Caenorhabditis elegans: one gene and its partner. The protein of the gene in region 1 purifies or fractionates together with the protein of each later gene. This does not show direct contact. Each region holds a gene or a part of one and is shown on either strand. Other genes may lie near its edges.

Evidence for each region.
Region 2: the proteins of snf-10 (region 1) and ccdc-55 fractionate together in Caenorhabditis elegans (co-fractionation; one large-scale study listed by BioGRID). This does not show direct contact.

The regions. Positions count from the first base shown.
Region 1 is NC_003283.11:10,432,324-10,448,646, reverse strand, and holds snf-10 (Transporter), read left to right. Parts: upstream 1-7,823; 5' UTR 7,824-7,851; coding exon 7,852-7,986; intron 7,987-8,033; coding exon 8,034-8,404; intron 8,405-8,452; coding exon 8,453-8,723; intron 8,724-8,769; coding exon 8,770-9,071; intron 9,072-9,118; coding exon 9,119-9,350; intron 9,351-9,396; coding exon 9,397-9,492; intron 9,493-9,535; coding exon 9,536-9,795; intron 9,796-9,886; coding exon 9,887-10,145; intron 10,146-10,185; coding exon 10,186-10,281; 3' UTR 10,282-10,317; downstream 10,318-16,323. Other genes in the region: Y32F6A.5 (Retinoid-inducible serine carboxypeptidase), read left to right, coding at 2,045-2,113; pap-1 (Poly(A) polymerase), read right to left, coding at 3,584-4,111, 4,737-5,062, 5,112-6,000, 6,306-6,530; set-22 (SET domain-containing protein), read right to left, coding at 7,696-7,746, 10,330-10,422, 10,471-10,684, 10,727-10,829, 10,876-11,043, 11,093-11,192, 11,236-11,325, 11,371-11,462 and 1 more; Y32F6A.4 (Amino acid transporter transmembrane domain-containing protein), read left to right, coding at 15,062-15,114, 15,160-15,266, 15,610-15,699, 16,074-16,245, 16,293-16,323.
Region 2 is NC_003281.10:4,161,991-4,177,499, forward strand, and holds ccdc-55 (Nuclear speckle splicing regulatory protein 1 homolog), read right to left. Parts: upstream 6,776-15,509; coding exon 6,665-6,775; intron 6,478-6,664; coding exon 6,328-6,477; intron 5,979-6,327; coding exon 5,061-5,978; 3' UTR 4,958-5,060; downstream 1-4,957. Other genes in the region: C16C10.8 (LYAR-type C2HC zinc finger protein), read right to left, coding at 53-340, 865-1,219, 1,542-1,609, 2,131-2,181; E3 ubiquitin ligase rnf-5, read right to left, coding at 2,553-2,674, 3,100-3,370, 3,928-4,174, 4,776-4,843; E3 ubiquitin ligase rnf-121, read right to left, coding at 7,099-7,219, 7,279-7,398, 7,908-8,059, 8,118-8,209, 8,260-8,396, 8,440-8,594, 8,647-8,826, 8,899-8,949; C16C10.4 (putative histone deacetylase complex subunit SAP18), read left to right, coding at 9,350-9,531, 9,657-9,837, 9,938-10,075; Argonaute protein hrde-1, read right to left, coding at 10,779-10,938, 10,988-11,178, 11,224-12,172, 12,220-12,744, 12,794-13,747, 13,793-14,003, 14,055-14,163; C16C10.13 (Rab3 GTPase-activating protein catalytic subunit), read left to right, coding at 14,793-14,909, 14,954-15,223, 15,268-15,509. UniProt on the Caenorhabditis elegans protein: Required for the cessation of distal tip cell migration at the end of larval morphogenesis.

The DNA of each region.
Region 1 (16,323 bases):
CTATACTTGATCAAAAATGATCTTTTGATCGAGTAAACCAAAGTAGTGATAAGTTCCTCTACCAGATCTTGGAAATCGTTTAAGTTAATATTGCACATTGAGATTTCTGCAGTTAACACCAACGGTTGTCGTTGAGAATTCCATTTGAAGACTCGTTCAATTCCTTGAGTGACTAGCATTCTGTTATAGAGTTCAGTCATTTTGCTGTATACATAATCAATGTTAATAGACTGTCTTTTGTTAAATGATTCCAAAGCGATCGGATTCATTATCACGCGATTGGTTTCCAGGAAGAGCAATTGATAAAGGTATTTCAGTGTTTCAATATGGAGTTTGCTGACAATCAAGGCATGTTCTCTGGCTTCATCGGTATTATTCAATTCTTCCAGATTCGGGAAATCAGCTTCGATTTCTTCAGCTTTGAATGAATCTCTCACTTGTTCGAGATTATTGCTTTTAGTCAATCTAGAAATAAAAATAATTGAATACACAGAAGACAGGATAAAGTGGGAAACAAACCCTTCAGCAGTCACTCGATACGATTCCTTCGTTGTTTACAATTCTTCCAAATCTAAATGAAAACCATTAGAAGAGAACTCTGATTTTTGTCTCACTGCTCGTAATAACGTTGTGCTTCAAACGCTTGGCCATCGAGAATTGCGTATTCGCGGTAAATGTGTTTCATTTTTGTACGGCCATTTTGATCTCTCAGTCGTTCCAAAAGGAATCTGATCAATTTTAGGTTGTCTTCCTTTGAAATTGTCATTTCGGGACTGAAAAAAATTGTGATCTTCCAAAGTGGAAACAATATCAATCCTGAGACTGAAAAAAACGTTCAAAAATAATATTACCGACACAAGAGACGTCAACGACGACAGAGTAGATGTTGTTGTGGACGATATAATCAAGAAATGACTAAAATACAACAGTTCATTTACGCATCGACTTCATAATGATGTGATGTTCACGTCGAGTATATATTAGTTTAAAAAATTGATTAAATATTTTATTAATATTATTTTTATTTGATACGTTTATTTGAACGTGAAAATAATTACTTACTTAGGATACTTAGTCGATCCGTTCTTCGCCTGCGGCGCGGATCGCAGCTTTCCAAGCTTTTCGGTCCTTTGCTTGGGTGGACCAAAGTTGTTTGACTTGTCCGAAGGCGTCTCGCGTAGTGACTTCTTTTCTTAAAGAGTCATTCCATCTCATCGGTGGGCGTCCAACGGGTCGTTGATCGTCTCGGGGGCACCAATCGTTCATCAGAGTTTATCCGTTCGTCTCGCCACGTGTCCAGCCCATCCAAGTTTTTTCTTTTTTATGTGTATTTAATCGAGTTCAGAGCTGGCTGGGGTTTGTATCATTTATTGATATTAAATGAAAAGGATAGAGCCATCAGATAGGTGATGGCTTATATACAATATGAAGTAGGCGGAGAATCAATAAGATAAGTAAAAATGACGGGGGATAGGAATGCAATTATAATTGAATGGTGCAAAAGATAACAAAACAACATTAATAATGTGAGGATTGCGAGTGAGTCACGGGGCAAAGAGTACGATCGCGTACAGTATTAGTGGATCTCTGAGTTTTGACTTTTCTCGAACTTCTCTGACTCTGGCCGTTCACCAAATATAGTGACTCTGGCCGTTCACCAATTATAGTGACTCTGGCCGTTCACCAATTATAGTGACTCTGGCCGTTCACCAAATATAGTGACTCTGGCCGTTCACCAATTATAGTGACTCTGGCCGTTCACCAAATATAGTGACTCTGGCCGTTCACCAAATATAGTGACTCTGGCCGTTCACCAAATATAGTGACTCTGGCCGTTCACCAATTATAGTGACTCTGGCCGTTCACCAATTATAGTGACTCTGGCCGTTCACCAATTATAGTGACTCTGGCCGTTCACCAATTATAGTGACTCTGGCCGTTCACCAAATATAGTGACTCTGGCCGTTCACCAATTATAGTGACTCTGGCCGTTCACCAATTATAGTGACTCTGGAAAACATTATTGGAATAATATTAATTTCAGGTTGCATATGATACCCCAGAATCTGCAATCTTCATGTTGAAGGCCGTGGTCAAGCAGTATAATGCATAGAACTTTCTCATTTTCTTTATTTATAAATGTATTATTTTTCTCTGTATGATTTCAACCAATGTAAGCTGGACGTCTTCTCTTTTTATTAACCATTATTATCCGTTCACAAAACATGAGCGTGCACAAAAATGATTGCAAACTTTCTGAACCGAAAACAGTAAACAATTGAGAGATGATTAAAATTAAATGAAAAGGTAAGTTTGGACGGGGATGAGAAGACATCGTGGACTGATGTATGAATGAAGGGAGAAGTTTATGAGACTGTTGGAGAAAGGGAAAAAAAGGATGAATGACTTATCGTGGATAAAACGACAAATCGAGAAGGAAGAAAATGTGGTAAAAAATGAGGAAAAAGAGGAAAGAAAATTGGAATGCGTGCCTTTTTTGGGGGAAGAAACGAGTGCGATTCCTCCGATTTTTTTTCTTGATTTTTTCAGAGTTTTTGGCTTTTTTTTATACAAAGCAAATGTAATTCTCTGAAAACTCAGAGATAGATAGTAACAGAGAAGCAAAATAGTAAATACAAGTAGATTAAATGATTCCGAGAAGAGCGATGGTATGTGAAGTCAAAGAAAAAACAATGAAGCTGCCAATTTGGCTCATATAAATAAATTTTTTCATGAAAAAAACAGAAGGAAACATAAGACAAAAAAAGTGAAGTAGAAGGCATATACTTGATGAAGAAAAAACAAGAAAATAATGAAATGGAGGATCATATAGTTTCAATAAAGAAAACATATACTGAGGAAGACAAAGTTAAAAACCAAAAGAAATGCATATTGGTACTTGGATGATTATCTTATGCAAATACGAAGAGAAAACGAACAAATAAATGGTGATAAATTCTCTAAAGTGAAGCGATCTGATAACTATTATCAATGATATATTACAAATGTGAGAGAATAAAAGAACCGCGTGAAAAAGTGTGTAAAACTTTTGGTTTGAAGACAGTAGACACCTGAAAAGATGGTATAATTTTAAAACGTCTTTGTAAATCGATGTATGGATAATTATGGAAGCTGATTTCAAAATAGCGATCTTTGAAATTTACTGAAAAATCTCGGCTCGTGTAGCTTTATCCAGCTGTTTTTACAATATTTGAATTTTCCAACTTTTTTTGCAAACTTAATTTTTGGTTGTTTTTTTGAAATTTGGGTTTTAGGTACCATGGGAGTTGTTCTTAACAATTTCCTCAATGTTTACTTTTTTAAACTTTAAACTTTGAATACTGTTAGTGAGATCAAAATTTTATCAATGCAGTTGAAATTGCTTTTTCGCTCATTTCTAGTTTATTTTTCCAAAATTATTTTTAAGAATTAACCAACATGTTGAGGTTCTCCAACTGCGGAAATTGCCTTGTGGAAAACTTAAAACACGGAAATTTCAGAACTTTTCGATTACAGTCCACCTCTGATTCCGATTACCAATTTTTTAAATTTCTTTTAATTGAGAATCATAACGTACCCATTATTAAACACTTTGTGGAACCTCCATTTTCTGTTCACTGGCTTCCAAACCATTTGATGTATTCAATCCATTATCAGCTTGCAAATCAACTATTTCTTGAACAACTTTTGTTCTTTGTTCAACCACAACATTCGAAACTTCAACAACCATTGAAACTCTATTCTCTTCTAATGTATCATCACGTGTTTTCTTTTTTGGTACAGATTCATCAGAAATTTGTGAAGTTACAGTAGTTGATGATTCTTCATCCATACTACGTTTTCTTGATAATGGAGTACCATTTGTTGTTGAATCAGGTTCATTCGTGGCAGAAACTGATGCAGATAGTGGTGTTTTTGGAGCAGCAAGTCCAGTTGGAGTAGTTGGTACAGAGCTAGTACTTGTAGTTCGCACAACACTTCGGGGTGTAGAACTGCTGACGGAAGTATTCGTAGCAATTGGAACAACTTTCTTCCAGCGACGGCCACGGCGAAGATCAGCAGCACTAATCACTTGAATCAGACTGTTTCTCTTTACATAGAACATATCAATCTGAAATTATTAAATAATTATTGCAAAATTTTTTGTTGAAAATCTGAAAGCTAATTTTTTTGAGAAATATGTTTTTTTCGAAATGATATTTCAATATTCATGTTTAATTTTAGCACGACATTTTGAAAAATAGCATTTTTTTTTAAATGAAAACGCAAGTTTTCAGAGAAAATCGAAATTTTCGTTAATTTTTAATTTGTCGAAAATCGAATATCGTAAAGCCAAGAAGAAAAGTGGACATGCACGGAAAAAACAAGAAAGCTATAGATTTATCAAAAAAAAAAAGTTGATTTTGATATGAGATATTGAGAATTGGCCATATAGAAAAAAATTTTCTCAACGAAAAACGAAAATGTTAGATGTTTCGATAGTTTCAATAATAAATTTTTTTTTTAATAATAAATATAGTTACTTCATCTTACAGGAAATTTTTGAACACTTTTTCAGTTGTTTTAAAATAAAATAAGGGTTATTTCAGATAAAGCAAAAATGTTTCCATATTTTTAAATTACTTTTTAATGAACTTTTTTCACTATTTCTTATGAAATTGCACGGCATTTCTGGTTGTAATACAGAAATGTCGATATTTCTATTAATCTTTAATATTTCAGAACAAAACACTCACCTGCACTTGACAATTTGGTCCAATACCCTTCACATTACTCGCTTGTAGTTCGACATTTGTTTTGAATCGTTGAATTTCATTTGTCAAATCAAGAGTTTTAGCATGTTCCGCGAATTCAAGACCAATAAACCATACAGTAACCCTCTTGTTTTCTGGATTTACATCAAACTTTGCATTTGGAGATGGTTTATGCTTATTCGGGTCGTTGTGGGCTATTATAATATCTTGATTACGTTCAAGGCTTTGCACAAGAAGACGGATACGTGATTCAAGGAAACCACCGTAGTTTAATTCTTCTTCCTCGTTAGGAGCAGCCATGATAAGAGCTGAAAATACACAAATTCATTTTGAAATGTGATAAAAATGAAAACTTACCAATAAAATGCTTATATCTGCTGAAAAAGTTGACTTCTTCAAATAAAGCAGTCCATTTCGATTTTCCTTCACTGATATCTCGACAAATTTCAAGGGCTTCGCATATTTCGTTCTTTATAACAGTGGCGGTGGATCGAGTCACATTATGAGTCGAATTCTGTTCTGGGAATGCTGGAGTAATAATTGGCATTACGTGGAATCTATCTGTATTTTTTCGTCGAGGATCCCAAACCAACTCGCACAGTGTCGGAATATCGTTTCTGTCGTTGTTCATTTCATTTAGTACTACTGGATGAGGCCAAGTCCACGTTGAGAAAATGAAGAACATTCTATGAACAAGTCTTGATGGACTTGCATTTGGATATAACTGACAAGCTCGAGCAACGAGAATCGCCCATGTGATGCCTCCAAAAAATCCCATCGAATTGGAATAAATTCCGTGATTTTTTGCCCATAGTTTGATGGCTCGTAGAGTTACACAGAATTCTTTTTGACGTGGAACCAGTTTCAACAGTTGCTCAGCGACTCTGCATCCATTTAGTGATCTAACACTTTCTTGGTCCAAATTCCTGAGAAGGTTGTCATCAGAAAGCTCTTGGGTATCAGGTACTTCTTTCAAAGCAAGTCGAGCAAAGAGAATATCAAGCTCAACACCAGAATATTTAAGTTTCATAACTGGAACGAAAGCTTCTTCAACACCATGCAATTCTGTCACATTTGGATCGTTATTGAGCATCTCTTTGAATGATGTGAAAAAGTCTGATCGATCGATATGACGTGGTACAACAGCAAGTGTGTCAATATCAGCACCAGAACTGTGAACTCCAAGACGATATGATCCAAAAGTAAAAAGTTTTCCACCCGCATTCACACCCTCTCCATTCGGGATCTGAAAATTGAGGTTTTAGTTTAAAATTAGAAATTTGTTAATATATATTCCTTTATCAACACGTATTTCAATTAAACAACGAATTTAATGTCAAATTTAATTTTTAAAAATTTTCCACAACTAAACAGTAAAAATAAAAGTATTTTTGAAATTTCTTCTAGAAAACTGAGTTTTGTCAATGAGCCAACATTAATTATTTTCAATTATTATATCCAGTCGTTGGATGATTTTCATAAATATTGTATAAACAAAAACCTATTTCAGATCATACTTTTAAAATTTAAATATTTCAACAAAAAACGAACCTTCATGGCAGTTACATTCTTAACCCATTCTTTGACTAGACGATTCAAATTACGAAGTACTTCCATTCTTTGTTCTGTTTCTTCTTTTGGTTCATAGCTTCCAAACTTTTTCAATGTTTCTATCAATAAAGTCGTCTGTGCAATGTCTTTTGAATCTGGATGGGCTAGCGAAATGGGTTGAGAAACACCCAAAAGTGGAGTTTTGTCCTTTTCGGTCGCCGACATTGTTATTATTCTGAAAAGTCTTAATGTTGAAGAGTTTGCTGTACAATTTGAAATATTTACCAAGACATGCAATTACCCAAATTTCGGATTCCTCCTTTATTATCCTTACTAACGATTTGAACACGATAAAATCGCGCTGAAAATAAAAAAAACCTTTTAGACGAAAAGATTTTTAAAATTTCGAAATTCGAAAAACAACGAAAAATGAAGGCAAAACTGAGAAGAAATGAAAAATAGAAAAATTATTCGATATGAACGAGATCCGTGGGAATGAAAAATAATTTCAGAGAGCAGTGAGTTTTATCACGTTTTTACCACCAAATATTGAAAGGGTCCACGAGGTATAGAAGGAAAAGAAAAAGAGAAACAGACGAATGCCGAGCGACGAGAGAGTACAGATGAGCATGAGATATCAGACAGTTAGGGGAACGAGAGAACGACAGGGAAGGTCTCTTTCAATCGATGGTGCAGTCAGCCTCACACATGACGAATTCGTCGTCAAGACATCGAGATGGAAGCCTTTTTCAGAAATGAAAGTGAATGGAAAGAGGATAGAGAAAATGCAAAACGCTCGTTAGAGACAATGAAAATTTCTCCAATGAGAAAAAAGTAGAAAACGTTCCAAGAATACCCTTTTTGCATCACGTGTTCAAAATTTTGATTAAAACAATACACAAGAATCAATGCACTTATATGGGAGTTTTCAATTTAAATTTTGAATTAGGAATCAAGTAATTATAGTTCTAGAACCAAATTCCATAAAAATTAAGCAATAAAATTATATTCTGCAATTGTCTAGGAGGAGTACACGGTTGTCGGATTCTAGGCCGCGGCCATAAAACTTGAAAACCGTATACGGTACCGTAACCACGATGAAGATTTAAATAAATTGTCTTGGGCGTCTACAAATGAAGCAATGAAATTAACTTTATAAAAAAGAGTATGAACAAAATTATAAATAGAATGATATTATGATATTATGATTTTATTGAAGATGTACTGTGGAAAACTGTGTTTTTAAAAACAATTATTATATGAAACAAACTGATTGTATTAACATGATAATTATAGATACGATTTGACTCCGAGAACAGAAGATACTTTCAGAGTCTGAAAGATGAGAATAATTAGTGATAAAAAATTATAAAATTACATTTGAGAACAGTCACTTGGAATTCATTGATATGAACTTCTTGATAGTGTTTTGACGTTCCTTCTGAAATCATATTTAGTAATATTTAGAAAACGTGAATTTTTAGAAACTAGAGCAATTGAATTTCAATTTCGATACGAGTTTATTTTGGTTTTATAAAAACAGTGAATGGCGTCGTCTTCAGATTTCAAACAATTAAAACAAACTAGAACAAAATCTGAAGAAACTACAAGATCAGCATCAAACGAAACAGTAAATGATGATAATAGAAGCACTACTACAGAGGAAATAATACCAATAAAGGTAAAATATATACATTTTCTGATCAAAAATCTTTTTGTTTTCTACAGAAAACTTCAAATGCTACTGCCATCTCTAACATTGGATTCAAAAGCGTGACAAATCTAGCTCTGGAGAATATTGGGTTGGATACAAAAATGGAAGGACCCACGTGGACTTCAAAATGGGAAGCTATCACTGCCACACTTTCGTTCGTTACATGTTCTGGAAATATTTGGTTTTTCCCGTATCTCTGTGGATATTACGGTGGATGGTTTCCATATCAATTCACATTTTGTTATGTATTCATCGCTGTTCCACTTCTTTATCTTGAAACAGCTCTTGGACAATATGCTTCTGCTTCTCCACTATCAGTTTTCTCAAGAATGGCTCCCGCCATGGCAGGATTATCTGCAGGAATGTGCTTCATAATGGTTTTCAGGTATTTATCTGAACCTAACTTCTCATTTTTTCAAAATCCTCAATTCAGAACAATCAGTCTATCTGTCTGGGCAATTTACGATCTTACTATTTTTACACATGCTTCCCAATCAATCTGGTCAACATCTCCATGGGAGAGCTGCCAGGAAAGTCAATCTGGGGATTACTGTGTCAATTACAAGCTATCGTCGAAATGTACATGGATTCAACCGGGATCGGATAAAGAATGTGATGAATATCAAGAAATGTTAATTGCCACCCGTGGTTTTCAACAGAGAAAATCTCCATTTATGAGCTTTGTTCATGGGTTGATGTACAAGGTTGTATAACTTGACTGTATGATATTCATTTCGAAGCAACTTTCAGAGAAGCATAACAATGAATGATTGGGAGCCGCCAAGTGTTACATCTATTATATGTGCAGTTTGTCTATGGATAATTATTGGTATAATTTCCATTGGAGGATCAAAAGTTCTTGGTAGAACCGGTATCGTAGCTCTTACACTTTTATTGGTGGGAACTATAATGCTTCTTTCGTATGGAATGTCTTTGAATGATACTACAAACGTATTTACTGCATTCTTTTATCAAAGTGAAGGTTACGAGGATAAATGGATGTGGGTGTGGTCATGGGCAGATGCTGCAGCACATGCACTTAGAGCATTGAAGTAGGTGTGAATCATGAATTTCAGAAAAATAAAGTATTTGTTTCTAGTGTTGGATGTGGCGGAATCCAGAAATTTGCCTCATTGAACAACTTTCACAACAAAATACATCGAGATGTTCTACTTATTAGCATTGTTTCTTTTGTATTTTACATATGCACTGGATTACTTTCGTTCATGTTCATGGCTGAAATAGGAAGATTATATTACCCAGACTTGGAAGCTAGTGAAAGAATTCAACTATACGCTACACCGGTAATGATTGAAAGTGTAATCTCCGAGGTATATTAAAATAGTTCAATCTATAATAATCAGAAAAGTTATTTAGATATTAACAAATTCTTCAATGGGAAGCATTTGGGTGTTTCTATTCTGGCTAACACTTGCAGCATGCTCAATCCAGGGAATTTCTAGTTATATTTGGGTAGAAATGAAGCCACAAAAACGTCCACAATATCTAAGTTTAGGTTATAAGTTCTATGATTGTGGAAAGATTAAACGGAAGTCGGCGAAAATATGGAAAAGCTCTTGCGAGTTGGCATAAGAGAGCTATCATTTTAGCAATTATGAGTGTCACAGGTCTTATTTCTAGTTTACCATTTTTGGGTAACGGAGGAATTAATCTAATGAGTAGTATCGAAACATTTGCTTCATATGGCACTATATTTATTGCTTTTGTTGAAGTAATAACGGTATCTTATGTGTATGGATTCAAGAGATTTTCCGTGTAAGTTCGAAAAATGTGAATCTTTTTTAGAGAGTTTACCTATTCACAATAATTTGAAACAAAAAGTTTTTAGTCCAAAAAATTATTTCAGAAACATAAGAGCAATGATTGGGGGACACGGACCTCCTAACGTCTTCTGGTGGCTTAACTGGCTTGTAATCAGTCCTATTCTACTCATTGTAACTTTTGGATGTATCGTTGCAACATTCGGCCAAAAAAAAGCATTTAATGAAAATTCTATTGTGTCTGATCCAATAGGATATTCTCTTCTCGTCATGCCATGCATCTTTGTGATTTTATACTTTTTGAGAGATGAGTATGATCGAAGAAAAAATATGGAACCTTTTGTGGTAAGAATATATCTTAAAAACTACTTATGGAATAATTTAGGTGATGATAAGAGCAACTGGTGACTGGGGACCAATGAATCCGGAAGACAGACGAAATGCTGTGAAATTTGAAAGACAGCTCAGAGTTAGATATTGATAATGAATTATTCTACTTTTATAAAAAAATATTTTTTCTCTGACTAACCTCGTGAATGCAAACATTGTGTGGTTGATAAGGATGAGCGCATTGAATGACCTTGCTAGAGTAATTCGAATCGTAGTCATGTGGAAGTGTAAGCTGAAACAGAGTCTTATAATATATTTTTTAATCAAAGAAGGGTCTCACCTCTTCCCCCATTAGGATATTTCTCTGAGCAGATATAAATAATTGCATTCTTTGATTATGAATCACGTATCGAATCATGCAGTTGGATTCACAGTTTCGTCGAATAGCTTTCAGTTCATCAGTTGAATCAGCTAAATCGATGCACATATCATACTTTTCATATGCGGTATTCTTTTGAATATCTTCATCGTCTGAATAATATGAAGCATGCGGCCTGAAACCTAAAACTATTAACTTCTATAAATATATCCTCAACTGATAGACGGGCTTGTTGACGCCATTCATTGCCTCATTGGCGCGAATCTTTCTTCTCGATTGAAATTCCCGAGTATTTCTCTTTCTTTTTCTGGATTTTATATCTGAAAATATCGTATTCTTTTAATTAATTATATACAATTCAATTACCGATAACTTGGAAGAACGAAAAGTCATTTTGTAGCCCATTAAACAGTATAATATTTGGACGAAGGACTCCCATCTCATCTCGGCCGCATTCTTCAGGAGACGAAAGCTTCACTGGGACTGGAGCAATGATAAACTCGCCTTCAAGAATGTCACGAGTGGCAAAAAGACCTGTAAAATTATTTTATTCGGAAGTGTCGCACATTTAGAATTGATGTACCTTTTTTAAGCGTGTTTGGGAAGCAATGAAGGTTGAGTGGAAGAATCATAACCTGTGTACACGGGCGTTCTTTGCATTTCTGGTTCGCCAAAGTGATAATCTGTAAACGAAGGCTTGTAGGCAGGAAAACGAAAATTAAACACTTTTTTAGCTGAACCAGAATCTTGGAAGTGTCGCAGCAGCCGTCTAATTTTATGCGAAACTTTCGTGATACACATTTCTTCGAGTCGATTCTGTAATATAGGGGTTTAATAAACAACGAACAAATTTTTTCTCACATTATCCACTACAACAGCTTTTAATGTGTTTTCATTAAAATCTTCTTCAGTGAGCAGATGAATTGTTGTCAGAACGAGTGAGTCAGAAAAGCCTGAAAGGAACGGTAGTAAAAAGTTTTAAAAGTATTTAAATATCTTACTCTCATTATTTTCATTTTCTTGATTCAGATTATCGTTATTTTGTTGAGAACCATCTCGGACAGGAGATTCCGCTTCGTCCATGGACGGATCCAGTTTTGGCCGTTTGATCCTGTTCTCCATTACAGAAGTATTCCTGTCATTTAAATTTTTCACAAAATAAAATTAAATCGATTTAAATCTGCAGATTAACAAATGAAAAACAGCTGAAAACAAATCCGAAAAATATTTAATTTCAAAGATGTTCAAACACTGTGACGCAAAACTGCACAGAATTGTATACCGTAACCCGGCAGAAATAAAAAGAAATGGAATACTATATATTGAATGTGTCCATTTCATTAATCCATTAGTCCATAATCTATTAATATTATTTTTTTGAGTTTATGGCTATTTAAAATTCACCAAGGAAACAAAACATATTAAGCCGAAACATTGATTCATTGCTTTCAGGGTACTGTAGAATTATCTTAATGGTGCATACAATAATTTTGATAGGTCTTGTCACGATGCTACAAGTTCCGAGTCTACATATTGCTGTGTAATGTTGTCAGTCAACTGGCCAGGCATTATTAGGGAAACACTAAATTCTGAGAATGCGTAATACTGAACATATTTGACGCGCAAAGTATGTCGTAGCGAAAACGACAGTAATTCTTTAAATGACTAATGTAACGCTAGTGTCCATTTACGGGCTCGATTATTGAAACTAATTTATGTTCGAATTGTGGCAGCGAAATTTAATTTTCGTTAGTTTTTTGTATTGTTTGTTATTTGTGTGTTATCGATCAATAAATGATTTCCGTAAATCGACACCAGCGCTACAGTAGTCATTTAAATAGTTACTGTAGTTTTCGCTACGAGATATTTTTGCTCGTCAAATATGTTGCGCAATGCAATACGCATTTTCAGAATTTAGTGTTCCCGTAAATCATTTTTCCAATGGGAACTTTCCACAATAACTGGTTTGACATCGACCTAGTGCACTTTTCAAAATCAATTTGCACTTATTACATTTGACTACCTCATTCGTTTTTTTTGACCGATTTGATGAGCGGTACTGAAAATGTATTAATACACTTTTAAAATTTATCTGCGCAGTGTGGGAAAACTCATTTTCCAAGGTCTTATCGTTTGCAACTTATCCATTTTTGTCCAATATTTGCTGTTAGTACGTTCTTGAAAATACCATGGAAAACCGGAAACAACTGAACACTTTATTATATTTTAATTTTTATCAAACCATATTCTTAACAGTTCTGTGCATCGATGATCATGTTTTTAGAAAGTGTTTTCGTTCAAAACTTTCCCACCCATTCATATTATAGATGTCATCATAATAGTTTGCCCAACTTGTACAATATACTATTGTGTCGAAATCATTTTTCTTTGAAAGTTATCTTTTGGATATTTTCAGGTTTTCAGGTTTTCCACATTTAAAACACTCGTACTCGAAAACGTATCCATCATTTTTTGTTCACTAAGATTTTTGAATTCTCAAGAGACATTGTTGGAAAGGAGTTGAGAAACACGCAAAGAGCATCACATTTCCATTTGAATATAGTCATCTAGAAAATATCAATGTTCCTGTTTCAGTCATCAGAAACGAATTAATGACGCCCTTTCTCCACGAATTTTATAAGAATTACATTGATAATCAGATTCTCTCTATTTTCTTGATGACAATTTAAATTAATAAACTTCGAACTACCCAGCACAGAAGCATTGAGTTACAACACACTCTGTACTGACGTTGCAGGTTTACTGATAACGGATTATACGTGGAATTGGTTAGGCATTTTTGTCAGAGTCTTTCACTTTTTAACCATTTTTCCTTCTAAACTTCCAAAAGGTAATACCATCAATTAGTAAGACACCACCATAATTTCTAACCAAGTTTTGTTCCAGTTGTGTTGCGAGAGATCTTTTCTTAAATGCTTCGTGTGGTATTGGAATCATACTATTCTTAATGCCTTGTAGACTAAACAAATAGGTCAATAAATTCAATACAAACGTTCTATTGGATCTATGACTATCAACAAAAATAATTTATGACGATTCATTTTAATTCAATAAAAAGTTTCTACGATGAAATTCCAATAAACAAGGTTAGCTATCAAATAACATATTTTAAACATATTTTTCCTTTTTTAATATCAAACAAGAGATACAATTTTTCTGGTAGTTTCTGACATTTAATTTTAAAGTTCATAACCATATTACGTAACAAGGTCATTTTACTTTGTGTTGTTTTTAAATGACATCTCATGATTTCTAACTATTACAGAGACCAAAATGTTTCATGATGATTGATTAAACTCTTATCTTAATGAGATGTTGGTTGAATCTTCATTTGTTTTTACATCATTGTCATGACTCATAATTGAGAATAGTTTTAATTAATTTTTTTTTGAGTCTGTTGCCAATTTATGACTTTAAAAAATTCCTGCTAAAAATAAATCCTTACTTTTTTTAAACAATTTGCAATTTTATTCCGGAGAATTCTTTTGCCGAACTCATTTTGATTGCCGAACTCATTTTGAAAAAATTGTGATCACTCAAATTTAGAACATTTCGGAAATACTACTGAAAATATCGTTCATTTCTCATCGTTTCAGAATTAAATAGATATTTAATTTAAAACTCTGTGATTGAAATAATAATTTTTAGGATTTTTTAAATTGAAAACATTTTCCAAATAAAAAAGAAACCGATTCCGATTGACGGGAGTCTTTAAAAATTTTATCAAAACTAGAGTAGATGTAACATAACGTTTCGAAACAGTGAGCAATCATTGCAAATTTTTGTTTCGAAAAAAATATGTCGTTGAGAACTGTGTTCAGTAAATAATTAAATTTATTTATTGCAAGCTCTCAATGATGTCACTGAAAAGAAGAGATTCTTATAAAACTGAGAATCGTCATGACTCTAATTTCTTTCCTCATTGAGCATCTCTTTTTCACCCGAAGGACCTCTCGTAAAGGGTTCACATATTTTTACGTGAACCAGACAAAAAAGATACACTTACACTAAATCCCTTATTTCTCTTTATTTCTTTCTTATTTTCATTTTTAACCCGTTTTTCAATTTTCTCATGCACCCACTACGTCGCTTCGGTAAGCCATGAAAAAAGTGAAGACATGGAATTTTTCGTCTGACCAACGAAAGCTCCAACTGATAAGACATCAGAATAAAAGCCTGATTGACGAACTATCTTTATCACTTTCAGTTGCAAATTTTCATTTCTCCCCCTCTCACGACTTGTAACTAGAGAAAAATGTGAAAAAAGCAAGAAGAATGGAACAAGATAAAAAGAAGTGTACCCCATTCTACTTTTTTTGAAGTTGAATGGTATCTTTATTCACACACATTTTATTTCAAATACACACCCACTACCTTCAGTAGTTTTGTTGTTTTGTTGTTGAGACCAGAGCTCACAATAGATAACAATAAACCACATTTTCTCACATGTTTTATAGACTTTAAAGACAATATTTACCTATTCTGATTCATCAATTTATATTGAATTTTCAGGTTAATTTGGCCAATCAGGATGTCTTTTTCCTTGTCTAGAGAGAATTACGCTTTTGAAGATTCTTGTAGGAAGTAAGTTCGATGTATCAATGAAAATATAAATGTATACATTTATAGATCTACAAGAACTTCATCATGTTCCCGCAGAGACAGCTGGAATGGTGAAACTCGATCATCTTCTCACTGTGATGTTGATATGTCAAAGCCTTTCTTTAATCCAGCTGGTTAGTTCATTTCAAATTAATTACTGAAAAGTGTGTGAAAAAAAGGGTTTTCAAAGTGGAGCATTGGGGTTACAAGACTAACAGAAGAATTTAAAGTCAAGAAAAGATCAATTTTCAATATTTCCCAACTTCTTGTACTACAGTTAGCAATAAACGCTTTTTTTTGTCAATTTCGTAGTTTTCCAATAAGTTAATTAATCTTAAACTTTAGAGTCTATCAGTACAATGGAATTTGCTTTATAAAATTTTAAATCTAAACATTTTAATAAGATTTGCTCTCACTGTTCGGCAGGTTATAAAATAGTTTTAAATTGAACAAATTGCTCTAAATCATACTTTTCAGGTTTAAACTGGTTTGTAACTGGTCTATTCGTGGTTGGAGATCTTGCTGGTGGAGGTATTGTTGCATTGCCAACTGCCATTATTCAAGCAGGTAAGGCTTTTTATTTTAGAGGTTTTCTTTCTTCTCACCATTTTCACTATCTTAAACACACAAACATAAAATCGTCAAATGAAATAAACGATGTAATCTCTTTTCTTAATAAAAAACGAAGCATCACTAGCGATAGGCATATGCTGTCAATAACGGTTCCGGCTCCTTTGAAAACTCTGATCACGTTGCGAGTTTCTTATCAGTGAACAGAAAAAAGGACAAATAAAAATGTTAAAGTCTTTATAAGAACGCGGCTTAAACAAAAAAGGTCACCTAAAATTTCATGGAATACAAGAAAACATGTATTGAAAAAATCTAATTTTATCATTACAACGTATGGGAATGTCAATTTGACTTCAAATTCTTAATTTCAGAATTCTGGACCGGTCTGATAGTATGTGTCATTCTCATTGGAGTTGTCACCTATACTGCTTACGTTCTTGGGCTCAGTTGGAATATTCTGTTGAGCACATGGCCAGAATATAGACATCATTGCAGAAAACCGTATCCAGAAATTGGTGGAAGAGCTATGGGAAAGACTTGCCAGTATGTTTTATTTTGTAAATGATGTTAGATTTGTTGTAATATTTCAGACTTCTTGTTTCAATTTGCATTGATGTAACA
Region 2 (15,509 bases), on another chromosome or scaffold:
AACAACAAAATGAAAAAAGGGGATAAAATCAACGAAAAAACAAAAAATGGATTCATACAACCAACGAAACTTTCTTCCCATCTACAGTAACCGCCGCACATTTCTGAAGTTTTTCGTCGAAAATCGAATCCACGTCATCACTTGCTGCTCCGGCTGCGGAGAGCTCTTCAATAATGGCTTTTTTCAACTTCTTAATCTTCATTTCTCCTCCATTTTCCTTCAACTTCCGCTTGATAACCTTCTTCCATTTGAATGTAGATTCTGGAGCATCTGTGACTTCTGCTGCTGTCGTTGCAACAGTTGTTTCCTTCTTTGCTGCTGCGGCGGCTTCTTTTTGAGCCTGGAAAATGGTGTTTCATGAGAAATGTGGCTCTCCCGGTGAAATTGTGTGAGTTCATTGTACTTTTGAACAGGTTTTTTTTTTGGCTAAAATACTCTATTTTGGACCAATTTTTAGCTTTTCTTCCATTTCTTGATTTTTAATTTTTTTTTTTTGAATTATTCGTAAATAAATTTTTAAAGTCGTTTTTTGTTGGAAATTCCAATTTCTCAAAACATTTTTTTTTACTAAAATTGTTTTTTTCGGAAAATATTTAATTTTGTTCGATACTTTGTGGTCCTTTCCAGATTTTTTAAAATAAAAAATATTCTTTACAAAAAAAACAATTTTTCAAAAAAATCCATTTGAATGTTTTCTTCAGAATTATCGAATTTTCTACAATAAAAACAACGATTTAAATTTTAAATACCAAAAAATTGGTGAAAATGGTCAAAACAGTTTCTAAAAGATCATCGTATCCTCCACGGGGAGTACACGAGCTCCGTAGATCGACACAAATTAGGAAATTTGAGCGTAAAATCTACCTTTTCCATTTTCTGCGTCTCCTCCTGCTTTCGAATCGCTTCCTCTCTCATTTTATCAGCTTCTGCGGCAATTGCTTGCCAAGCTCTCAGAGCAAGATTCTTATCACGGAGCCGACACGAGTTGGTCAGGAAATTGATGAATTTCGCCTCTTTTCTTGGAATATTCGCAAATCCAGCAACACTTTTCAGCAGTTCTTTCACTTGTGAATCGGTGACAAATTCGATGGCACGATTCACTTGATCAACCCACGCATTTTGTTTCGCTTCTCCTTTATTCTCTTTTTCAACGTAGTTTTTTCCTCCGTATTTCTGATTTTCAGTGATGCATTTTACATGATCTTTGTATGTTTCACGGCTGAAAAAAAAATTAATTAATTTTTAAAATTTAGTGCCAGACAATGGCATAGATTTTTCAATTAAAAAACGAAAAATGGAAAAAATTAATAAAAATTAGTTTTTCGTTGTTTTTCTTCGATTTTCTCCAAAAAAATTACGAAAAATCTATTTAAAAAATTCCGATTTTCTAGGAAAAATATCTAGAAACCTACAATTTTTTTTCTGAAAAAAATCAAAAAAAAAAAAAAATTTTAAAGGTTTTTTCTGAAAATCATCAAGATTAATCTGAAATTTAATTTTTAATTATTTTTCTGAAATATGTTTTAACGCCAGAAGCTTACGTGTAGACAAGTTGACAATCAATACAGCTGAAAGTAGTATTACGGCATTGGAAGAGATGACGTTCGACCTGAAAAAAACTTTGCATGGATGTGTCGATTTACGCAGATCGTGTATTTACTCCATGAGGATAAGTGTGCATTTTTTGACAAAATGCATTTATTTTTGACTATTTTCGCTAATGTATTTGACATTTATATAGTCAATTATTCACTTATTCGTAGTGTCTCAGCTGAATTAAAAACTTTTTTTTTTGAAATTATTGAACAAAATTATGGGTTTTCCGATTTATTTTTTTGAAAAAAATATTCAAGAATTATTGGAATTCGCTTGCAATTTTTCTTTGATTTTTCAAGTTTTTGGAAAACTCGAAAAAATAATAATTTTTCTGTTTCCTTTATTTACAATTTCAAAATTTGGAAATTTTTTCGGAAAAAAAAGAAAACTTCAGAACATTTTTTTAACGATTTTTCGAAAAATTGGGAAATCTAAATTTATAGATTTTTTTTTGAAAAGGAAATTTTTTAAACTAATTACTTATTTTTTAATTAAACTTTTTGCTAATTTTTTCAAAAAAAAAAACGAATTTACCTGATTTTTCTTGCAAGCTTCACCGCAGTTGTTGCACGAGAAGAAAACCATCTGGAAATTCAAAAATCTAAAATTAAAATCTATACAAAAGAATTCAGATATTCAAAAGTGGTTTTGAAAACCAACATTTTGCTCAAAAAATCCAGAAAAAAGTGGGAAACTAATCGTTTTATACGAGAAAAAACCAGGAAATGTGGATAGAATCGACGAGGAAAAGTAACACAGATTGAGAGAAAAGAAAGGATTAATAAAATATTATATTAGGGAAATTTTTTTTGTTTTTATAATACAAAAAATGGAATATTTTCTGGATCGGATGCGGAAAAAAACTAATAATTATACAAATTGTTAGAAAATACAGGTGAAAAGAATATGAGGAATGTCGGATTTTTTTAGTAAAAAAAGCAGAAAAAATGGGATTTTTAGACGAATAGAAGCCAGAAAAGCATAAAAAATCCAATATATTTGAAAATATTCGACAAATATTCCTCTTCTTGAGCCATTCTTGATCCCGGTGCAGCTGATTCTCCGTGTCCACGGGGTCCTGAAAATTTTCGGTTTTTTTTCAGAGAAAAATCGAAAATTTTTGCTTTTCTGGTTAAAATTATAGAGTTAGAGTTTTCCAAATGTTTATACATTTTTTGTTTGTTTTTATTTTCTGAAATTTTTCTAACAAAGTTTTTTTTTCTAATGTTATCAAATCTGGCAAAATTTCAGAATTTTTCAGAAATTCTAGTTTTTTTAATTATTAAATTTTTTATTTTTTACAGTTTCCTCGTATTTTTTTAGTAAATTTTTTCAGAATTTTAGAATTTTCCTATTTAAAAAATGTAAAAATCAAAAAAACAAATTTAAATAAGTTCTTTTTTTTTAATTCTTTAATAGAAAAAAAACTTTTTTCTTGGATTTTTCTGATTTTTCTTCAAAAATAATCGAAAAATCTGGAATTTTCCCTAAAACTCTAATTACCATGTGTATGTCCATGAGTATGTGCATGTGTACCATCATTTCCGTCATTTCCTCCACCATTTCCACCACCAGCTGCTGCTGCTCCTTGATTACCATTTCCAAAGAATGAAGCAACAAATGACAATGGGAAGATGCCTTGAATGAAAGGTAGCATGAACATCAACGGGAACAGACCATTCACCGTACCAATTCCAAATGAAAAATGCACATTTGGTCCGCCGCCGCCCATCATTCCGCCATCGCCACCCCAATTGAAACCGGCAAATGATTGCTGAAAGAGGGTTTTCGAGATTTTGTTAGTTTTTGGGTGTGTGTGTGTTATGCGCTTTTTGGGATTATTTTGGTATTTATTTAGATTTTTTAATAAATTATAAATTGGTTATTTTTTCTTAAAGAAAAATTGTGCAAAAAGCAAACATTTTGTCAGCTTTCTAAAAAGTTCGAAAATTTTTTTTTTTTTTTTGAAAAATTTATGTTTAAAAACACTTGGCTTTTTATCGTGTTTTTGGCTTAAAAATTTCCTTTAGCAATTGTTTTCTTTTTTCTCTTTTTATTATTTATTTAAAAAAGAAATTATGTGTTTGAAAGAGACATTAATTTCCGATAAAACTATATTTGCCGAACATTTAAGAAAAATTCGGTTAAAATTATAGAAAACACTTTCCAATAAAACCGGTCTTTTTGTTATAATCATGTGAAATTTTTCTTCTTTTTTTCATTTAAAAAAAAGTAAAATTTGATGATGATGATGAGAAAATTGAAAAAAATAGCATAATGTCTTTTTTTAAGTAGTTCAGAAGTGTTAATCAGTGCATGAGTAGTGCATACCGGTGGTGGTTCACTTCGTTGTCCTTTTGGACGTGGTGGAACTTTTTTACGTGGATCCGATGAATCGCCACCTCTTCCATAGATCGGTACAACTTTATTCCCATCAATTGCACTTTTACACACTGGACAAACTTGATTATTTGGACGAGTATCAAGCCATTGACTCAGACATGGCCAACAAAAAAGATGTCCACATAGGGAAACGACTGCATCTTTTGCTGCGTCCAAACAAATATTACATTCAAATCTGCAAAATTACGATTATTAAATTTTGGAAATTCTGGAAACTTGTATTTTTAGAAACGGTGAAAATACGAAAAATTTGAAAAGAGTCAGTTTTTAAAATTCTTCGATTTTTTTGTCAATTTTTCGGGAAAATTATTAGTTTTGATAACTTTTTTTTGAAGACATACTGCTTGTAAATTCAAAACTTAGGCCATTTTCGTTTTTCCTACTTTTTTTGAAATTTTTGAAAATAACTGTAATATTTTCTGTCGGATTTTTTTTCTCGTATTTCGGTTTCTTGTTGATTTTCCGGAAAACTCCTTTTTTAAAAATAATTTTCGGTTATCTTTGAATCTGTTCTCATTAAAATCAAAACATTTCTGGTTAATTCGTAGTTTTTCGGATGTTTTAAAGTGTCGTAAAAGTATTTAGATAAACTGCCGTTTTTTGAAAATTTACAGCAAAAATAGAGAAATTATTCGGAAAAATAATTAAAAAAAAAAAACAGAAAATATGTAATTTTAGATTTCTCAAAAAAAATTAATCAATAAAAATTCGTTTTTTTAATTTCCGGTCATTTGTTATGTCTAACGATTAAAACATCGATTTTTTTCTAAATTTACCTCGCAGATTCATCTTTATTACTGGAGCTCGTGGGCTCCTCGGATGGAGCTTTCGTCTCCGACGCCATTGGCTCCGAACTCTGAAATTCCTTATTTAATTCTCTCTGAAATCACGTATTAAAATATATAAAAATGGTAGAGATAACCATAGAAGTTTTTAAAAAATGAACATTGGAAATTGAAATTGGATATTTCATTAGGTCTGGAATTGGAAAATTGGGAGATTGGAATTTTAACCAGCAATTGAAAAAAACAAACAAAGAAAAAATAAATAAAAATTAAATTTTACAATGGAGGTACAACAATTCCTTGCTCCTTTCTCTCGAAATATCTTTGCCTCGCTGCCTCAATATCTTCTTCTGTATTCCGCTGCTTCAGAATTTCTTTGAGTCCGTCTAATCTTGCTTCTTTATCGATTTTCTTCGGCTTCAGCTTATCTTTAAGCGAGATTTTCGGCGCTTTTTCAGATTTTTCAGATTTCCCTTCAGGCGATCTTCTACTCCCTGATTCTCTCGATTCTATGGACTTCCTTGAAGTTGGTGACGGGCTTGAAGTCCTTCTCCGAGCTCGTGGAGCTCTTGCACCTTCATCATCTGAAGATGGAGGTGTTGGAGTGTAGTTTCGCTGACGGATTCTCTCTGCGTGAGTCGTTGCTTTTTTTTTTGATACCGTATTCAGGCCAGGTTTAAGATCTCCTTCGAAATTTTTTTGTGGAGGTTTTGGTGCTTTTTCCTCGTCAGAATCATCGGAATAAATTGATTTTTTAAGCTTTTCGGCTGGTTTCTTATCCGATTTTTCCGGTTTCGGATCAATTTCTTCATCAGAATCTTCCCGTTTTCTCACATTTTTCTGCTCTTTCTTCCTCTGTTTAATAGCTGTAGGATCTCTTGCCAAATCGTTTAAAAGCGTCCTTCCCATACCAATTTCCCATAATTTCTGTTTCTGAACACTTGTCATATCATTAAAAGCAGCTTCTTCAGCTTCTTGTTCCCGATGTTTCTTCACTTCTTCCTGTTGCTTACGGTATGCTCCAGTTACAAAAACTTCTTTATCATCAAATTCATCGCCTTCTTTCTCTCGTTCTCTGAGTTGTTGGCGTTCTTCACGAGAAAATTGTTCGAGTTGGCGACGAGCATGGGCTTTAATGATGTTCTCCGCGTATTTCGATTCACGATTTTTGTCCGCTTTTCGAGCTTCTTCTTTCTGCAAAAACAAAGCTGTTAGTTGAATTTTTCAGCCTAAAAATACTGAAACTTCTGAAACAAACCATTTTTGGTTAAAGATGTGTTTTTTTTTCTTTTTTAACGAAAAATTTTCGATTCTCTAAAAACCCGAAAAATCGAAAATGTTCGTTTATTCTTGTCCATTTTTTAGATTTAAAAAAATATCAAAATTGTTAGTGGAAACTTATTATATAAATTGTTTTATTTGTTGAAAATTTTTTTTTCATATTTTCTTATCGAAAATTCTTTGTTAATGGTTTTAAAATCTACACTTTTTCGTTTTATTTTTAGTATTTTTTTTTTCGATTTTCAACTTTTCGAGCCCTCACTTTTTCATTCTTAATCGCCTGAATTTCATCGTAATTCCCGTCATAATCGAAAATCGTCGGATCCTCGGCTTCTGCCTTTTGATGTTCTCGTTCTGCTGCTTTTTGCACACGAATAACTGAAGCTGATGCCATATTGGTAGCTGTGGCTGGCTGAAAAGTAAGAAATTTATAATTCAGAAATTTATAAAAGCTTTTCTAAATCGAAAAATAGTCAAAAACTAAAAATGTTTAAAATTGCTAGTAGGAAAAAATTATTTTTGATAATTTTCGGTCATTTCTTTGTTGTTTGAAAACTTTTTCTCCTACACTAAATTTTTCAAACTTCTCTGAATTTTACCACATTATCATCATCATCATCGTCTCCAAAAACACTGGAAACTCGAATTGGAGCAGCTTTCGGTTCATCTTTTTTCCGAATATTTAATCCTACATGCCGTTTTGATGCCATCTAAAAACTTTTTTATTTTATTTTTCCAATTAAAAGAATCCAAAGGATACAGTTTCAGATATAAAACACCGCTGTGAACGGGAATTGGAAATAAAAATTAAACAGGAAGAATAAATAAAGTCGTAATTTTTTTTTCAAAGAAATCAGAAAAATCACCCGGTGCCCGGCAAAAAAGAAGTAACGAGAAAAAATGAAAAAACGAGAATAAAAATGCAATTGGAATGACAATTTTTGTGTGTATTTGTGACTATTTGATAACTTTGGGATGCAGTTAGAAATTATTAAATAAAAATAAATAAGTAAAAATTAAAATAAAAAGATTCCTATTCCAATCCCATCCATGTGGTGAGTCCTTGAACAGCTGTTACAATCAATGGCTGCCAGCAGACGAGATAACGGATCCAGTCAAGCAATTTTCCATAGAATAAATGAGGTTTCTCCCATCTGAAATTGAAAATTTTTAAAGAATTTATAATTAAATTTGATTTTTTCAAAAAACTAACGGATTTTTAAACATTCTCTGTAAATCGACACGTTCTTTGCAATACGGGCATGTTTGAAGTTTTCCAACAACTACCCATCCTCTGATACAGAATTCGTGAAAAACGTGGCCACATGAGAGTCTGAAATTATTGATTTTAAGTTTAACAAGAGCTTTCTAGCCTCATGTGTCGATTTACTTTGTTAAATGCAAAAGGGTGCGCGCCTTTAAAGAGTACTGTAAATTTTAAATTTCTGGTGCACCGGATTTTCGTCAATTTTTCAACAAAAAAATGTTAATCAAATTTTATTTATTGAGGCACCACGGATTCAAGATCTGGTGGAATTCCGGATCTACGTTTTCCGGACCTGGCACCGTGCCAACGCAAAAAAAAATTTCTCGGAGGTCTTGATTTTATTTTTCTGTGTAACTTTTATTCGTATATTTGAATTTTTAATTATCAAATAAAAAATTTCACGAAAAACTGTGGAAAAATCGATGAAAATTCGTTCAAAAGCTTCATAATATCAGTTTTTAAAAATTTGGTGCTTTCTGGTGATTCTCGAAGAAAACTGGAAAACTACTTATTAATTCTTTTTTTTAATTAAAAAAAGTGAAAATTCCAAAAATCTGCTGAACTTCTCCACTCACTTATACAATTTTTCATCTTCATCTTCAACCATTTTCGTTGTAACCACAGCATCTGCATCATGAACATGTTCCGAATCATCAAGACGTCCTCCACAAACAGCACAGACACCGTCTTCTAGATGCTTTTTAGGAAGTCCTTCAGGAGTGTAATACTGAAAAATTGGAATTATATTGATTATTTTTCGGCAGCAGGTGAAAAATGTATTTTACCCCGATTCTCGACGCCATTCTCGCCGTGCAAATGTGAGCAAAATCCCGGCCGAGCACTCCGTAATACACACCATAGAACATGAAAAGGATGCCTGGAAGCTTGAAAATTAGATTTTTTCAAAATTTTTCCAAAATTTCTCACCGGCATCCATTAGTGTTGGCTGTGAAACTCCGAATAAAACATGAAATCCTAATAAAGCTCCCATCATGATCAAATATCCAACAACTCCGAGTACATAACTCAGTTTATGCAAAAATAGAAACCATTTGTAGACGAATCTTAAATTATTTCGTTTAATTCGTCTTTTTTATTCTTAAAAACCTTGGTGTTCCTCCACTGATATGTTGAGCCGAGGCTTTCAACCAAATAAAAGCTGAAAAAATGCAGAAAACAAGCCACGTGGCCAGGAATCGATACCAGGATCGGTTGAAACAAACATAAACTGGAATTGTGAGCATTCCTATTAATGTACACATCTGTAAATGTTTGAATATTAAATAAATGTTTAAAATTAATAAAATTAAATACCTGATAAGATTTAAAATGCTTCCTCTTCCAGGTGACCAGAAAAATCTGTCCAACGATGACAGAAATCATGAAAATAACCATCATTTCCATGTGCATCGCTTCGTGTCCTTTATGCTTTTCGTGCATTTTTCGGTGCTCCTCTGCCCATTGTTCTTCTTCTGTTAGCTCGTGTGGAGGGGGCTGAAAATAAAAATTTATAATAGAAATCATTTTACTTTTAATTAAACTATTTTAAAATCAATAAATACTTACCATTCCTTCCTGAACTTCATTCTGCAGCCTAATTGCCCCATGTTGGCCCATTCTATGGCCTGAAAAAATAGAAATTATTTTGGAAAACGTTATTGATTTTTCGAGAAGGTAAAGCGGACTCCCGCGTGGAAAGTGACCAATTTTAAAAATTGAACGAAAAAAACACTTTAAATTCAATAATTGATAAAAATAGTTGAGTTGGTTAACTTTGCGACAAGGAAATGTCGGAGAAAGATTTGCGGTGAAAATCGAAATAAAATAGGAGAATGTCATCTGCGCGCGGCATATCTGCAAATCTTGTGTGCCAGGGTTGCAAAGAACGCTCCGCCCACAAACATTCGAATGCAAATTTTGGCGTTTTGCTTCTTTTTTCTCTTTTTTCTGTATAACCAAACAAATATATTTTATATTATCCCTTTTTAGAGCAAATTTATCTTTTTTTTTCAGAAAAATGAGCAACGGTCAACTCGTGTCTCAGGTGACAGTTGGTCACGATAAACCATTAGATCGTGAGAAAGTATGTCCGATGCTTCTTCGCGTCTTCGTTGCTAATAATCGTCATAATCCGATGAGCGAGTACAATAGTAGAAATGGAGGATCTGTTCCACCCAGCGAACTTCAAATGCATACTTGGTACGCGGTAGAAATAGAAAAATTAGTACTATTTGGCCGAAATTATAGAACTTTTGTCTAATATTTTCAATAATACATTCAAACTTGTAAGTTTGGTTAACCTGAAGTATTTTTTTTATTTTCAGGATGGACTGTTCTCTGCGTGAATTGACCAGTCTAATCAAAGAAGTGAATCCGGACGCTAGAAGAAAGGGCACCACATTCGATTTCGCTATTGTGCAGGCAGACCGCGGCTCGCCAAGATACATTCTACGCGATGTGGGAAACACGACGAATGGAGAGCGTGGCATTGATGACAACAAAACTGTATGTGATTTTTGACACCACGGAACCATTAGAATTTTATTTGAATTCGGAAATAATATCTCCAATATTAAATTCGTTTTGATTGAACTTTGTTTTTCAGCTACAACAATGCAAATTCGAAGTCGGTGATTTCGTCGACGTCGCGATTTCCTTGCCAAGTCAAGGACGTCGTTTCAATAACCGGGAGCAGGGAGACCGTTTCGATCATCGTCAACGCCAACGTAGTCCGATTCGCTAGACGCCTAACTGTGTGTTAAAATTCAATGATACTCTTCTGTATTTATTAATGTGTCGATTCTTTTTTTTATAACGTGCAATGTAATATTCTGCGTAAATCATGTTTTCCTTTACAATTGTTCAACATACTTAACAATTTACAACAAAGTTTACTTTCACATTTACTGGTCAAAATTGCAAGCTATTTAATTTTAAAAAAGTTTTGTTTTGTGATTATGCAAAAATCGGAAAAATGATCGCGATCAAACTGCTTTCAGCGAAAACTAAAATTTCTTCTCGAATAATTTATTGCTTAATAAATGATAATGGACGGGGGGTAGAGCAAGTAAGATTATTGAAAATCGAAATTTCCAAAAACGTTCTAATTGGAAGTTTCTTTCGCCTTCGAAAACTCCTAATAAGAAAGTTGGAGGAAATTCGCACAGAAAAAAAGGCAGGTAAAACAGGAGTATCTACTATTCAAACTATGTGTCAATGTACTCTACTCTAGATTAAATTACAAAAGGATTCTTAGTTGAAATTATAAAAACATAAAGGGGAATACGATACAATTATGGGGAAAAATGTAATAAAGAATGTTCAGAAAAACAAAAGCATGGGAATTTAAGTACTTGTATAGAGAGTAGGTATAGGGTAGTGGATAAAAAATGTTGGTAATATGTAAAGGGGGTGAATACGTGACAATAAAAGAGAGAATCTCGGGATTACGCCCAGAAGTTTCGCTTCGGAATGGTCATTCCGTTCATTGCAACGGACATCTCATCAACAATGGCTGCCGCCAGTTCTTCTCGCATGTCTTCGTTGATGAGTTCCGAATGGTCTTTGATGATGCGGTTCTCAACTGCTTGCAAATTCACGTAACGCCTGGAAACATTTGTTTTTGATAAAGATTTTTAGGAAAATAAACTATTACTGATGAATTTTGTAATTGTTGCGTCCTCGTTTAGCCAGATTTTCTGCCGCATAAAGAACATCTGGAACCGATGGTGGCTGGTAGGACACTTGATGACCGAATGCGCGGAAGTACGTCAAGTGCATGAGCTCGTTTTTAGACCATTTGGCATCATTGACAAGGATCGTGTACTTGCACGGACGAACGGTACCCTAAAAGAAACTTTCATTTAATAAATTAACTAATGAACAACTTACAATAAGCGGCGTCTGTGAAGACAAAATGAACTCGTCGTATCCGTAGGATGTCAGGACATTCTCGACACATGTTCCAGATGGGATGTTCTGATCCGTCGCTCTGTTGCCACTGATACATGATGGAAAAACGCGAGCATGTGAAGCTCTTTGTGCGATGATCACCACGAGATGTGGACGGTATCCGGGCTGAATCTTGTCAAATGTTCGTCGCATCTCTTCGACTTCTTCCTTAACACGATTGAAGTTTCCTTCTCCAGCACCAACACGATAGATGACGATTCTTGTTGGGAGTGTCTTCGAATGCTCCTTGTACGATCTGACACACTTTGGGAAGAATTCATCAAGTTTTTGAAGTTTGTACTCCTTTTGGGTTTGAAGGTATGTGAAGCCTCCGAGCTGCGTCGAGTTGGTCAGGGAATACGAGACTCCAACAACTGATGGCTCACCATCCATTTGTGATCTACTGCGATCGAACAAAGTGCGTGATGCGCCATGAGAAATCTCGAATCCGATGAATTGTACATGTTCGAGAAGTTTCTTTCTCAATGTTTCATTGTTTGAGCACACTGCTTTTCCACGCACAGCATTCGGGATCTCGACGAAGAAGTTGGTTCCACCACACTTGAGGTTGAACTTTCTCATGACGTTGTCAATCGTTTGGCGTCCACCTTGACCTCCCATCATTTTATCGACAGTCTGTTGACACAATTGGATTGTTTGCAGGCCAATCGATTCCTCAAAGTATTTGAGTATGTCGTGAACATCCGGCTTCTTCTCCCTTGCTATTCCAACAAGAATGTCCACTCTATCATCGAGCCATTTCTTCATCAGATTTTGGATAGCAACGGAATCACTGGAGTTCAATTCACGGATGGACCAATCTCGCGAGTCCTTTTCGACCGTGATTCCATTGTCACGACAGAAATTGGACAGCTTGTCGCAGAAATCTCTGAAAATAGAATATTATAAAGCAGAAGAAAACAACGTTCGACTTACTCGGCCTGTCTCATTTGGATACAGTTGTCAAAGACAACAATACCAATTTTTCTGATCCGTGCTGGTTCGACAAACTTGTCCTGTGTGCGGAACGCTGGACGGCTCATGTCAGGCATGTAAGTCTGGCCCTTGAACTTGATTTGAGCTGGTGGGAGGAGCTTCGCAGTCATTTGGATTGGCTCAGTCGACATCAGTTTGATTCCGAAAGCATCCATGTACTTATTTTGTTCAAGCTTCAAGTTGTCGCGGAGAATATCTTGAACCAACTTCACATGATGCTGTGGCATAGACGCATTTCTTCCTGTCATCGCCGATTGTACTGTCGGGCTCATCTTGTTGACCTTGATCCGCTGGCCTGGAGCAATTCGAAGCAACTCCATTGGGAAGAAAGATTCATGTTTGAATCTTTTTGAGACGACGAGAGGAAGTCTCGGATATTTCAGCTTGATGTTGTACTGCAACAGGAAATATTCCGCCACGGTGACCTCGCGTTCTCCCTTGTCGTCCTTCATCATGAACGAAGTGCTACAAAACAAATTGTTATCACGCTGATGATAACTATCGAATAACTTACTTCTCAGCATTGTTCTCGGCAATCGAGGATACGCGAATAAGGTTACCCTTCAAGTGAGTGCATTCCACGTCCAATCCTTTGAGTGCTTCTTCAATGCATCGCTTCGTGTTTCCTCTTTCGCCAAAAGCGTGTTCCAACTCAGCAGCATCACTCGGAGAGTAGTCCGCTCCATTTGAAGAACCACTGTCTCGACGGGAATCGTACATGTCGCGACGTCCTCTGCTTTCATCTCGGTACCTGTCGTTGCCACCTCGGTTTCCATAGACACCACGAAAGTCTCTCGAGTCGGAACGGCCGCCACGGTATCCACCACGAGAGTCTCGCGAGTCACTTCTTCCGTATCCGCCTCTTCCACCGCCTCCACCTTTCATTTCGGATAACTTGTTGCTTGAAAACTTGATAACTGATGTATCCTTGTAAAATGGAGAAATCTTCGTATCAACCGTCATGAAAGCTTTGCCACCTCCGTTTTGCGATAGACGAGATACTTTCGCAAAACCTGAGCGGATCTCCGAAATAGCATCAGGTTCCGAGTGTGGCGGAGAAAGACGTGGGAATGTGGCATTACCAAATTGTAAGTAATCCTCATTGTTGAGCTTTTGTGAAGTGACGATTTCGATAATACGAGTCAACTCCATACGATTAGCCTCCTCCTGGGCAACTTCTCCTTGGGTGTACACAAATCCGGCAGGTTTGAGAACAACAAGGTAAGAATCGTCCTTTCTGCGAGACAACTTCGACACGAATTTCCATTCTTCCTTCGGGAAGTCATCGATCGTCAACGTGACTTCTTCTTGATCGTCACCAGTGTAGACTCCCTCCGGAAGATAGAGAGTCGCAGCGCAGTCGTAAGCAAGGAAGTGGTGACTCTTTCCACTGAACTTCACCAGAAGCTTGTCATGTACTGTTCTCATGATGTAGTATTGTGCCAAGCGACGGTTATGGGAATTGACACTGGAAAGTACTGATTTTGAGCGGTTATACAAATTAAATACTTACTCTCCCTTGGCCGCCAAAACTCCAAGGTTGGCATTGATCTGTTTTCCGTTGCTGGAACAGACGATGACGTCAACTTGAAAGCGTTGGATCTTGTGGGGCATATCCTTGATGTCCACTGGAAACATGTTCATCTGAACATTCATCGTGTCCATCGTTGCGAAAGAGTCCCGTCCAATTGGTGTTGTTGACTTCGGAGTAGAGAACATTGGTGCTGAAAAAGACAATTTTGAACTCCTAGGCATAATGTTGATTCTAAACGAACCACTTCTCTTTGACGTCGGTTCGTCCTTGTCCTGATTCATTCGGTTGTCTCGTTTGGGAATCCTGTTGGAAGACGAACTTCCCATAATTTTGTCGAGCAAGTCGGCCATGTTTGACTGAAATAAGAAACGATGAAACGAAAAAACGATGCGAATTTCAGATGTAATTGAGATAAAACAGTGAAATTTACTAAGAAAAAGTAAATGAAACAAAAGCTTTACCGTCCTGATTGAGATTTTCAAGTAAAATGAGAAAAAACGCAAGGAGAGAAATGAAATGAAAATAAATAAATTTTAGGCCAGAAAATTCGAGAAAACACATCCGTGGCGGTACAAAAGTTCAAATCGTGGCGCCACATGCGTTGTAACAATAGAGCGCGCTTGCATTGTGATCTCTTCGAAAAATTTCACGTCTAGAAATCGAATTTTATTAGTTTTCAAAAACTTAACGACTATTCTGAACATTTCAAATAAAATAATAGAAAACAATATTTTTAAAAAATTAATTTGTTATGCTTCAATAAATATTAATTATTTAATTCATTTCTACAATCAAAACGATGCTGGTTTTTCAAGTTTTCTGCTTTTTCGTCTCTTTTCTGGCAAATTCAATAAAATGCGACATAATTCATCTCAAACATATGCCTAAAATTCTGAAGGAAAAGGCGTTGCTCGAAAAGCCGATAATTCCAAACAGGCTGCTCCAGCCATTCCTTAATGAATCAATTGCTCATATTTTGATGAATCCGTTAGCTGAAGTGAAGACGAATGCGACGGAAATTAAGTTTCTAAATTATCTAGAAGATAAAAAGAAATATGAACCCGATTGGACAATTCGAGAACTTGAAGATAAAATTGTGAGCTTAATAAGTCATTTTTCAAGTCTAGAAAAGAGTTTCAGAGCCTATCAGAACTGGTCAAGACTTGTCTAGAACACCACTCGTTTCTAGATCTTCCAGATTTATTTCCTCGTTTTCTGTGTGGTTTGTTAGCAGTGTATAGGGAACAGAACACGACAAGTCTTCCATATACTGGATCAATATTTTCTCGATCATCAAATGCAGTAAAATTTCTAAATGATCCAGAGAATTATCCATGTCATTCTATGAATATGACTGATGTGGTGGCACTGGTGCCAGGAAGAATATACAGTGGATGTGTCAAGGATACGGTATCCTTTTCAACAAAATTCTGAAAATCCAGTTATCTGTTTAGGACCCTGAAAAATTCAGTCAATTCGATTCCGTCTTCATCATGTCTCATCCATTCCCAGATGTTCAAAAGTGTCAACAACCTGTGTCAGTGATGCCAAAATGCGAACTGCGATCGATGCTAGTGCAACACAAGATATTGTATCAGCAAAAAGATTGTTGCTGCGATTCCAACATGTGTGCCGTGCTCATCTTCACTCAGACCTCTTCACTGACTCCGCTTGTTTTAAAGACGATTGATTTGAC